2 linked regions of the Ovis aries genome follow. The protein of the gene in region 1 interacts with the protein of each later gene in a biochemical or structural test. Links are inferred from orthologs where the notes say so. Each region holds a gene or a part of one and is shown on either strand. Other genes may lie near its edges.

Evidence for each region.
Region 2: of the proteins of histone H2B type 1-B (region 1) and UBR7, one has a biochemical effect on the other in vitro, tested with the Homo sapiens proteins (2 studies listed by BioGRID, with this or other methods). The link is inferred for Ovis aries from reciprocal best matches to the Homo sapiens genes H2BC3 and UBR7.

The regions. Positions count from the first base shown.
Region 1 is NC_056073.1:30,871,482-30,876,395, forward strand, and holds the start of histone H2B type 1-B, read left to right. Parts: upstream 1-1,979; 5' UTR 1,980-2,025; coding exon 2,026-2,406; 3' UTR 2,407-4,914. UniProt on the Homo sapiens protein: Core component of nucleosome. Nucleosomes wrap and compact DNA into chromatin, limiting DNA accessibility to the cellular machineries which require DNA as a template.
Region 2 is NC_056071.1:55,650,181-55,655,450, reverse strand, and holds the start of UBR7 (putative E3 ubiquitin-protein ligase UBR7), read right to left. Parts: upstream 3,568-5,270; 5' UTR 3,513-3,567; coding exon 3,363-3,512; intron 1,477-3,362; coding exon 1,343-1,476; intron 750-1,342; coding exon 689-749; intron 1-688. Other genes in the region: EKC/KEOPS complex subunit GON7, read left to right, coding at 3,767-3,974. UniProt on the Homo sapiens protein: E3 ubiquitin-protein ligase which is a component of the N-end rule pathway. Recognizes and binds to proteins bearing specific N-terminal residues that are destabilizing according to the N-end rule, leading to their ubiquitination and subsequent degradation.

The DNA.
Region 1 (4,914 bases):
GAGCCCCACCAGGTAGGCCTCGCACGCCTCCTGCAGCGCCATCACGGCCGAACTCTGGAAGCGCAGGTCGGTCTTGAAGTCCTGCGCGATCTCGCGCACCAGCCGCTGGAACGGCAGCTTACGGATCAACAGCTCCGTGGACTTCTGGTAGCGGCGGATCTCGCGCAGAGCTACCGTGCCGGGCCGGTAGCGGTGCGGCTTCTTCACGCCGCCGGTGGCTGGCGCGCTCTTGCGGGCCGCCTTAGTGGCCAGCTGTTTGCGCGGCGCCTTGCCGCCGGTGGACTTGCGGGCAGTCTGCTTAGTGCGAGCCATCACAAATGGGTGATCACAAACCAAAGGTCTGGTACAAGCGCAGGTAGTTGCCTTTAAATATAGTTGGAAACACTCTGATTGGTCTCGGAATTTTTCAAAAGTACCGCGCGATAAAACCATTGGCTAAAAAGTGACCGGGAGAGACCGGTTAATTAAGAGAGAGTCTGATTGGATGAATTACTTCTACACCTATTTCCTATGCCTTTTTTTTTAAATCTAGGCGACCTGAAGGAATTTTCCTAAATTGTTTCATCTTATTGCCAACTTCAATGTACATAACGAGCCATTTACCCACCATGTTAACTTTTGATTCAGTATACGGGTGGGACCTGATATTCTTAATTCTTGACACGTTCTCAAGATTGTCAGTATTTCTGCTCCAATCCTAAATTGAATACAATTGATCTTTCTCCCCCACAGTTGGGTCAGCTTTAAGTAAATCTCGAACTACCAGGACTACCACTTTCTAACTTTGGTCATCAGATCTCCCCTAATTCTGAGTTTATCTTCTGTAAAACTACATGCCAGGGTCCCTGGGTGGATGATTTTAAAAAATCACATGCATGCAAAGGTGGAATTGATGACATATATACACTGGATCCTGATAAACTTCCATGGGGGGGCGGGGGGATTGTTTTAAAATTTTGAAAGCAAAGGCAAGAGAAAAATAATCTTGGCAAGAGTAATTGCTTTTTGTTATCCTCAAGACTAAGTACCGCTCTAGTCTCCCCTTCTCTTTATAAAGGCCCTTGTGGATTACAAAGGTTTCGCCAGCTATGCAGTAAAATAATGCTTGTGAGAACATTTCCAGAGTCTTTGTTTTAATGTCATTTGTCTTTTTACAATTAACCACCTACGCAGCATAACCTGGCTACCAGCTTTTTTTTTTTTTTTTTAATAAAAATGTGGATGGCTGTGAAAAGTCTTTGAATAGTTTATTAAAAAGTTTCTTCTTTTGTCTAGGCTTTACTTCCCCTTCGCCTTGTGGTGACTCTCCGTCTTCTTGGGCAGCGGCACCGCCTGGATGTTGGGCAGGACGCCGCCCTGAGCGATGGTGACTTTGCCCAGCAGCTTGTTCAGCTCCTCGTCGTTGCGGTTAGCCAACTGCAGGTGACGCGGGATGATGCGGGTCTTCTTTTTGTCCCGGGCCGCGTTGCCGCCAGCTCCAGAATATCAGGCGTCAGGTACTCCAGCACCGCCGCCAAGTACACCGGAGCGCCGGCTCCAACCCGCTCGGTATAGCTGCCCTTGCGGAGCAGGCGGTGCACTCGCCCCACTAGAAATTGTAAACCAGCCCGGGAAGACCGAGTTTTGGCTTTAGCTCGAGTTTTGCCTCCTTGTTTACCACGTCCAGACATAGTTACTTTGTAAAACTCAACAGCAAAACTTGTGAGCAGGAAAAAAAAAACCCTGGACGACCAAGGGGGGATAAAAATATTTTTTTAATAGACAGTAGAGGGATGCGCCACTTAGGTCTCCTATTGGTCAGAAGGACGAAGGTTTTTCTATCCAATAGAAAGAGAATATGTGTATCCCTTATTTGCATAAACCCCTCCCTCCAGACCTTAGTGAACCTGTACTGATCTTACCCAATCAAAAGTGAGAATTTTTCATTCCTCATTTACATTGAAGCGCTATAAATATCTGGTTTTTGAACTCATACTGGTAATCTTAGTCGCGGAGGCTATCATCTAACGTTTCTAGGGCAAAACAATGCCTGAGCCGTCTAAATCTGCTCCCGCTCCTAAAAAAGGCTCTAAGAAAGCCATCACTAAAGCACAGAAAAAAGATGGCAAAAAACGCAAGCGCAGTCGTAAAGAGAGCTACTCTATTTATGTGTACAAGGTTCTGAAGCAGGTCCATCCAGATACTGGTATCTCATCTAAGGCCATGGGTATCATGAACTCCTTTGTGAACGACATTTTCGAGCGCATCGCGGGCGAGGCGTCACGCCTGGCGCATTACAACAAGCGCTCGACCATCACATCCAGGGAGATCCAGACGGCCGTGCGCCTGCTGCTGCCCGGGGAGCTGGCCAAGCATGCTGTGTCTGAGGGTACCAAGGCCGTCACTAAATACACCAGCTCCAAATGAGTGCCTGCATAGGCAGTTAATCCAAAGGCTCTTTTCAGAGCCACCCACTTTGTCGAAGAAAGACTGTAACTGCCGTTTTCTCGCGCGGTAAATGCAATTCTGTCCTATTGATTTAAGCATCTACATCTACTCTAGTGGGGTTAATAGTTGAAGCAATTTTGGAGCCAGAACCTCTAGCTACTTGAAAAGTCTCTTGGCATTTAAGAGACGTTCCCCGAAAGACACATCTTCCCGTTTCCCATGGACTAAGCATCCAGATGCTTGGAAATGCTCACTCTTCACGAGGCCTCTTAAAATTTTTGATGGTGATTAGAATTTTCCTTCCGGGTAAGGAAGTGGTTGGGGGGATTTCAGGGTCCCGATCCTCAAGGCATCTTTATGCAGGTTGTCTTTTCAGGGCAGGTTGCAGGGAAGGCAAATCAGTGGGGTTTTCTCCCTGTTATTGGGGAAACTAAGCAAAATCACCTGTTGTTCCTTTAGCAAACCGCGGACACTTTTATAAGGTATTAAACTCTGCACATGGTTGAAATGAGATTTTCTAATTTCTCATTATAATTGTATAGTGATGGAAACAGCCAATGTAAAGCCGTTTCCATTTTTCTTGCATTCCTGATATCTGGGTTCCAGTTTCCTGGGTCATTTACCTTCCTGGGATGGCACTAGAAGAGGTTGAAAGTGTGGCACTCCCAATTCTAGGAGGGGAAATGGTTTGAATTTTCTGACCTCCCCATCTGGTGTCACCTCATTTGCAGACTAGGAGGGCCCCAGGTGGAGAGGAAGGTGTGCTAATTTTTCTTGGGAAAATTTTTTAAGAGAACATACTACTCCCAAAATAATCCTGATAGGAAGGGCCTTGGTTGTGGAAAAGGAGTCAGTGGGGCTGGATGAGGGGAAGAGCCACGAAAAGTCAGCGGTTGACTGCATATTAAAAAGGTAGGGGAAAGTCTTTTCTTTGGTTTATAAGCACCATATTTAGGTGACATACATCAGTGTGTTTGGATAAGGAAATAAAAACTCGAAGTAGAATTTCTCAAAAAGACCACTTTTAAATTTTGGAGTTAAATGAACTTTTCCCAGATCCCACACAAATTAGGTGACTGCTATATGAGAAGACTTCCCTGTCTCAGCATACATAAAACATACCTGTGAAACAGAAGCTTGTCTTAGAAGTTAAAAATCTTGGTTTTTAGATTGTAACCCCCTCCACTCATCTCTGGGGGGAAAAGAAAGAAAAATTGAACTCAAGCTGCAGTTTCAGAATTGCTCTCTGGAGGGATGAGATCTTAGTGGTAATATAATCTCAGTCTCTTCAAAATTATCTCCTGGGGTAGAACTTATTATTTGCCTGCTTGCTTGCTTCTATCTTCCTTCTCCTTGCCCCTTCCTTTCTTCCTAATAGTTGATATTTTACAGAACTATATACAGTCAGCAAAAAGACCAGGAGCTGACTGTGGCTCAGATTATGAACTCCTTATTGCCAAATTCAGACTTAAATTTAAGAAAGTAGGGAAAACCACTAGACCATTCAGGTATGACCTAAATCAAATCTTTAATGATTATTTCAGTGGAAGTGAGAAATAGATTTAAGGGACTAGATCTGATAGAGTGCCTGATGAACTATGGATGCAGGTTCATGACACTGTAGGAGCAAGACCATCCCAAAGAAAAAGAAATGCAAAAAAGCAAAATGGCTGTCTGAGGAGGGCTTATAAATAGCTGTGAAAAGAAGAGAAGTGAAAAGCAAAGGAGAAAAGGAAAGATATACCCATTTGAATACAGAGTTCCAAAGAATAGCAAGGAGAGATAAGAAAGACTTCTTCAGGGATCAGTGCAAAGAAATAGAGGAATATAATAAAATGGGAAAGACTAGAGAGCTCTTCAAGATCATTAGAGATATTAAGGAAACATTTCATGCAAAGATGGGCTCAATAAAGGACAGAAATGGTATGGACCTAACAGAAGCAGAAGATATTAAGAAGAGGTGGCAAGAATACACAGAAGAACTGTACAAAAAAGATCTTCACGACCCAGATAATCACGATGGTGTGATCACTCACCTAGAGCCAGACATCCTGGAATGTGAAGTCAAATGGGCCTTAGGAAGCATCACTATGAACAATGCTAGTGGAGGTGATGGATTTTCAGATGAACTATTTCAAATCCTAAAAGATGATGCTGTGAAAGTGCTACACTCAATAGGCCAGTAAATTTGGAAAACTCAGCAGTGGCCGCAGGACTAGAAAAGGTCAGTTTTCATTCCAAGCCCAAAGAAAGGCAATGCCAAAGAATGCTCACACTACTGCACAATTGCACTCATCTCACACACTAGCAAAGTAATGCTCAGCATTCTCCAAGCCAGGCTTCAGCAATACGTGAACCGTGAACTTGCAGATATTCAAGCTGGATTCAGAAAAGGCAGAGAACCAGAGATCAAATTGCCAACACCCGCTGGATCATGGAAAAAGCAAGAGAGTTCCAGAAAAACATCTATTTCTGCTTTATTGACTA
Region 2 (5,270 bases), on another chromosome or scaffold:
AGGGAAAGAGCATGACAACTTTAGCAATTAGGACTGAATACTGTAAAGTGACCTCCCTGGTGGCTCAGACGGTAAAGCATCTGCTTACAATGCGGGAGACCCAGGTTCAATCCCTGTGTGGGTAAGATCCTCTGGAGAAGGAAATGGCATCCCACTCCAGTATTCTTGCCTGGAAAATCCCATGGACGGAGAAGCCTACAGTCCATGGGGTCACAAAGAGTCGGATACGACTGAGCGACTTCACACACTGTAAAGTCCCTTATTTTCTGTTTCATTTTTGGTATTTCACTTAAGTTATTGTAGAAGATAGTCTTTATTATCCAAAAAGCAGTGAAAAACTTTTGCAAAAGCCCATGCTCATTATTGCCCAGTTTTATTTATTGTTTTAAAAGTCATACCCTTTTCTTTAAAAAGCCTTAGAGCATGAGCACAATCAACACAACTGAACCTGAATCACTTTAGAACACTACCCCCAAAACCTTTCATATTAATTACAATCTATAGGTAGGCTCTGAACAGGTTACTTAGCTTTCCAACAAATAAAAAACTGGGGTACAGTCTAACATTGATTTGCCCATTGGCAAAGAAGCATAGAACTTCCTTTTTGAAAATTCTTGGTTTTATCCCCTAGGACAAATACAAATCTTAGCTACTTTCTATGCATTTATCGTTTACTGTGGTTACTTACAGGAAACAATTTGCATTCCAAATTTTTAAACTTGCTGTTTCCACAATCACAACGAAAATTTCTGAAAGAAAGGAGGAAGAGCCAATTTTAATTTTTCTTCTAAGTCTAAAGACTACATTCATATCATAGCCTCTTCCCTTTCAATTAGCTTCTAGGATCTAAAAATTGGACTTGGTTGTTGTTCATGTATCCAATCCGCAATTTTCCCAAGCATATTACAATAAAAGATTTAATAATTCTATAAATTAACATGTGTGTGCTGTGTGCCCAGTCATGTCTGACTCTTTGTGATCCCACGGACCGTAGCCCACCAGGCTCCCCTGTCCATGGAATTCTCCAGATAAGAATACTGGAGTGGATTGCCATTTCCTTCTCCAAGAAATTAACATGCATAAAGACAAATATCTGTATCTCACACACACACATAAAACAGTGGAAGGATAGCAGGAGTAGTCTGAGTTTGCCTCATAATTATATTTTAAAAGGTCCCCTGGAAAAACTGTTCTTTCCGATTACATTATATAAAACAGTTGCATTAAATTTTACCAGGGCACAACTACTTTGAATGCAAAAACATGATTAAGAAAAAAAGTGCAACTGGAAAAGAATCTAAACATTTGAAAAGCATCCAGCATCAATCTCTGACCAGTTTACCTTTTCGTGTACAGCTCAAATAGTTTATGACTTCCATGACATTCGTAACTGCAAGCCAGGCAAATTCCTGCCGGTTCTTCTCCCTCTGGAGTGCAGGTACTGCAGGCATACAGTGCTTGTCTCTTTACTGAACCCTAAAGACAGCCCCAAAATGGAAAAAGACCGGAAACTGATGAAACACTGGCAGAGCAACCTAATGCCCACACTATGATCTGAGAAATAACTGAAATCAGATGATCTGGGGTCAAGATCTTCCTGTAAAAGCCACTGAGACTAATAAAAAAGCATATACAATAGAATACCAAAACACTGTTGCAGGTTTCATACACGTTTCATATAACTTTTTCTCAAAGTGATAGAAGTTAACATTTTTAGTCAGCTGTGAATAAACCGGTCTGCTTAACTATTTTAACACATGAAAATACAGGAGAATGTGTGTAAGCTTATGTAAGGAATAATCATACTTTAATTTTGGAAAATGCTTGTGATTCCACCAAAGAGAAAACCAGTGCATTAAATGAATCCCTTTGATTTTAAGATGTATGCTGACATATTTAGAGTTGAAGTGTCATGGTCTGAAATTTATTTTCAACTGGTTCAGGAAACAAAAACAAAGTATATTACAGTGAAGAAGTAAAAGATAAAACAAATGTGGTAAAATATTAAAAAGTGAATATATGTGAAGGTACACAGGTGTTCATAATATTATTTTTTCATTTTAACTGTAGACTTTAAACATTTCAAAATAAAAAGTCGAGAGAAAAGCAAATCCTGATAATGGCTGCCATCTTCTGAGAAGAAGGGAGTCCCAGGAAAGCTTCTGTGATGCTGGTAATGTTCTATTTCTTGATCTGTGTGGTATGTACCTGCAGGTGTTTTCAGTTTTGCTTTCCCAAGACTTATACATGGTTTCTGCACTTTTCCACATATTTTACAACAATACAAAAAAATTTTTTAAGGAAGTCTGTTTTAAAAATCTAACTACGTTTCAAAAATAACTTACAGGCTTTTTTAAAAAAGGCAAACAGAGAAAAAGTTGTTCCAGTGGCGACCAAAGGTTTTAAAATATCAGCCAACATTAAATACCTCTGAAGCCAGGTGTATTAAAAAAAAAAAAATCTAACCACTTTGCAGTGTAAACTCAACTGGTCATTGATAACAACTGGTATTGTGATCTCAAGCAACACCACGTAAAGACCCCATGTCTCTCTCCCCATCCTGCAATGTTCCACTCCACCTGCCTGGAAGATAACCTTCTTCCTATCAAGTACCATCTCTCATTAGTTTTCTTCTACCACCTTTCTCCATTTTTGAACCTAGAAACATAGAATGAGTCACCAAACACTACGTCACACCCCCTCCAGTCCTTGTTCCCACCATCTTCCGAATGCCATCTCTCCTCCCCTCCTTTCCTTTGCCAGTGCCACCAGCTGTTCGGGTTCCGGTCTATGCCCCTGGAGGGCCGACTGCAGAGAGACGTGGTACTTGCTTCCTCTCGCCAAAAAAAAAAACCAGCTAGCACCTGTCAAACTAAACTGCAGAGGAACCAGCTGTCCAGGAGTCCAGCCTACGCGGAGAGATTTTCAAACCCAGAGCTCTCTCCTTTAATTATTTGACTCTTCCGTTTAGTACCCAGCAAATACTCTGAGGATGGGAAAAGTATGGACAAAGATACTCAGGATGTGAAAGGTCACGGGGTTGGTTTGGTGAAAAGCGGCCGGGGCACAGAGAAGAGACGAGGAAGGAAGGAAAGAGCAGCTGCTCTGGGGCCAAAACCGTAGAAACGTCGGGGGCCTGACAGAGGAAAATCGAGAAAGGAGGGGCGTCCTGCTGGCCACAGGTTAGAAGGGGCTCAGAAGACTAAGTGTAAAAGGGCACCTGGGCCTGGGATGGGGAAGCCTACGACCAACAGCTGCGCTGGACCACCACAGGGGGCCGGCCGCGGCCGGCGGGAAGAGAGAGGGTAAGGCGGTGGGGAAAGGGAGGTTCAGCGGAGGCGAGGGCCGAGCCGCGCGCCCACCTGCGAGTAGGAGCACTTCTCCGAGTCACTGCCGCCCAGGACGGCGCAAGCCTCATTCTCCAGCTCCTCGTCCTCCTCCAGTACATCGACCAACGATACCACGGGCTCCAACTCCGACTGTCGCCCAGCTGGCTCCTCAGCTCCAGCCATCCTCAACTGTCACCAGGACCGCCGACCGGCCCCGGCGGAGGCGGGAAAAGCGTCCGCGAGGGGCGGGGCCGGAGGAGGCGGGGCCTCGGTGCCAGACACCAATCCCAAAGACAGGGAGCGAAGGAAGGGGGAGGAGCGACTTCCGACAAACGGAAGTCAGGCCTCTCCCTTCTCCGCGCCTGCGCCCGCGGCGGGCTGGTTTCCGTTTCCGGTGGCGACTCACTGTGGCGCGCTCCTGAAGCGTAGCGGTCGCTATGGAGCTGTTGGGCGAGTACGTCGGACTGGAAGGGCAGCGACAGCAGCTGCGGGTGCCTTGTGAGGCGCCGGGCGTCACCGACCCTTTCCAGAGCTTGTTGTCCGGTGTGGCTCAGATGAGGGAGCTGGTGACTGAGCTCTTCGGCTCTCAGGTACAGCCGGAAGCACAGGACCGGGGGACGGCGGCTCCCGACGAGGCCTTGGACGGTGAGCTTTGAGACGGTTCAGCGAGTGACAGGAGGGCGGGCAGGGGCGCCCGGAGAAATTTGGGCTGTACCTGGACTCGTTTAGCAGGACTGCTTTTGACGATTCTCTTTTCATTTATGTCACACAAAAAACGTACTGAACGCCTACGGCCCTGTGCCAGTCACTGGGCTGAACTCTGGAGAAAGAATGACGTGAATGCGACTCAGTTCCTGTTCTTGTGGAACTCTGTGGGAGGTTAGACAGACAAACATTCTTATTAAAGAGTAGAAGGAATGACCCTAGGCTTCTTTGTAACTATTGCAAACCTAGAGAACCCAAGAAGGCTTCAGAAAGAGCATGACTTCTAAGCTGGGCTTAGAAGGATGGAAAGGAATTTTCCCAGGCGTGAACTTACAAATATGTTTGGAAGACCGCCATCTATTACAGAATAGAAACAGGTTCTGAAGATTGGAATAGATTTCAGATGAACAAGGCTTCACTGTCAGGGACTCCTTTCATTTCCCAGTGTGGTAGGTGCAGTTTGAAAGCAGAAATGGAAATTTTAACTGTATTCTTAAGTCTTGTCTTGAATACCCTGAGCTGAAGAACCTAAGAACTAAATATTGGAATCAGGGCTTACTTCCCCTATTGTTGTTGTTGAGGTTCAGTCGCTCAGTTGTGTCCAACTCTGCAACTCCATGGACTGTAGCACACCAGGCTCCTCTGTCCTTCTCTGTCTCCCAGAGCTTGCTCAAATTCAGGTACATTTAAACTGCAGTGCCATCCAGCCATCTCATCCTTTGTCTCCCCCTTCTCCATCTGCCCTCAATCTTTCCTAGCATCAGTCTTTTCCAGTGAGTCAGCTCTTTGCCTCAGATGGCCAAATTATTGGAGCTTCAGCTTCAGCATCAGTCCACCCAATGAATATTCAGGGTTGATTTCCTTTAGGATTAACATTTCATCTCCTTGCCTTCCAAGGGACCCTCAAGAGTCTTCTCCAGTACCACAGTTCAAAAGCATCAATTCTTCAGCACTCAGCCTTCTTTATGGACCAACTCTCACATCTGTACATGACTACTGAAAAAACCATAGCTTTGACTATACAGACCTTTGTCGTCAGAGTGATGTCTCTGCTTTTAATACACTGTCTAGGTTTGTCATAGCTTTCCTTCCAAGGATCAAGTGTCTTTTAATTTCGTGGCTACAGTCACTGTCTGCAGTGATTTTGGAGCCCAAGAAAATAAAATCTGTCACTGCTTCCACTTTTTCCCCTTCTATTTGTCATGAAGTGATGGGACCGGGTGCCATCTTCTTTGT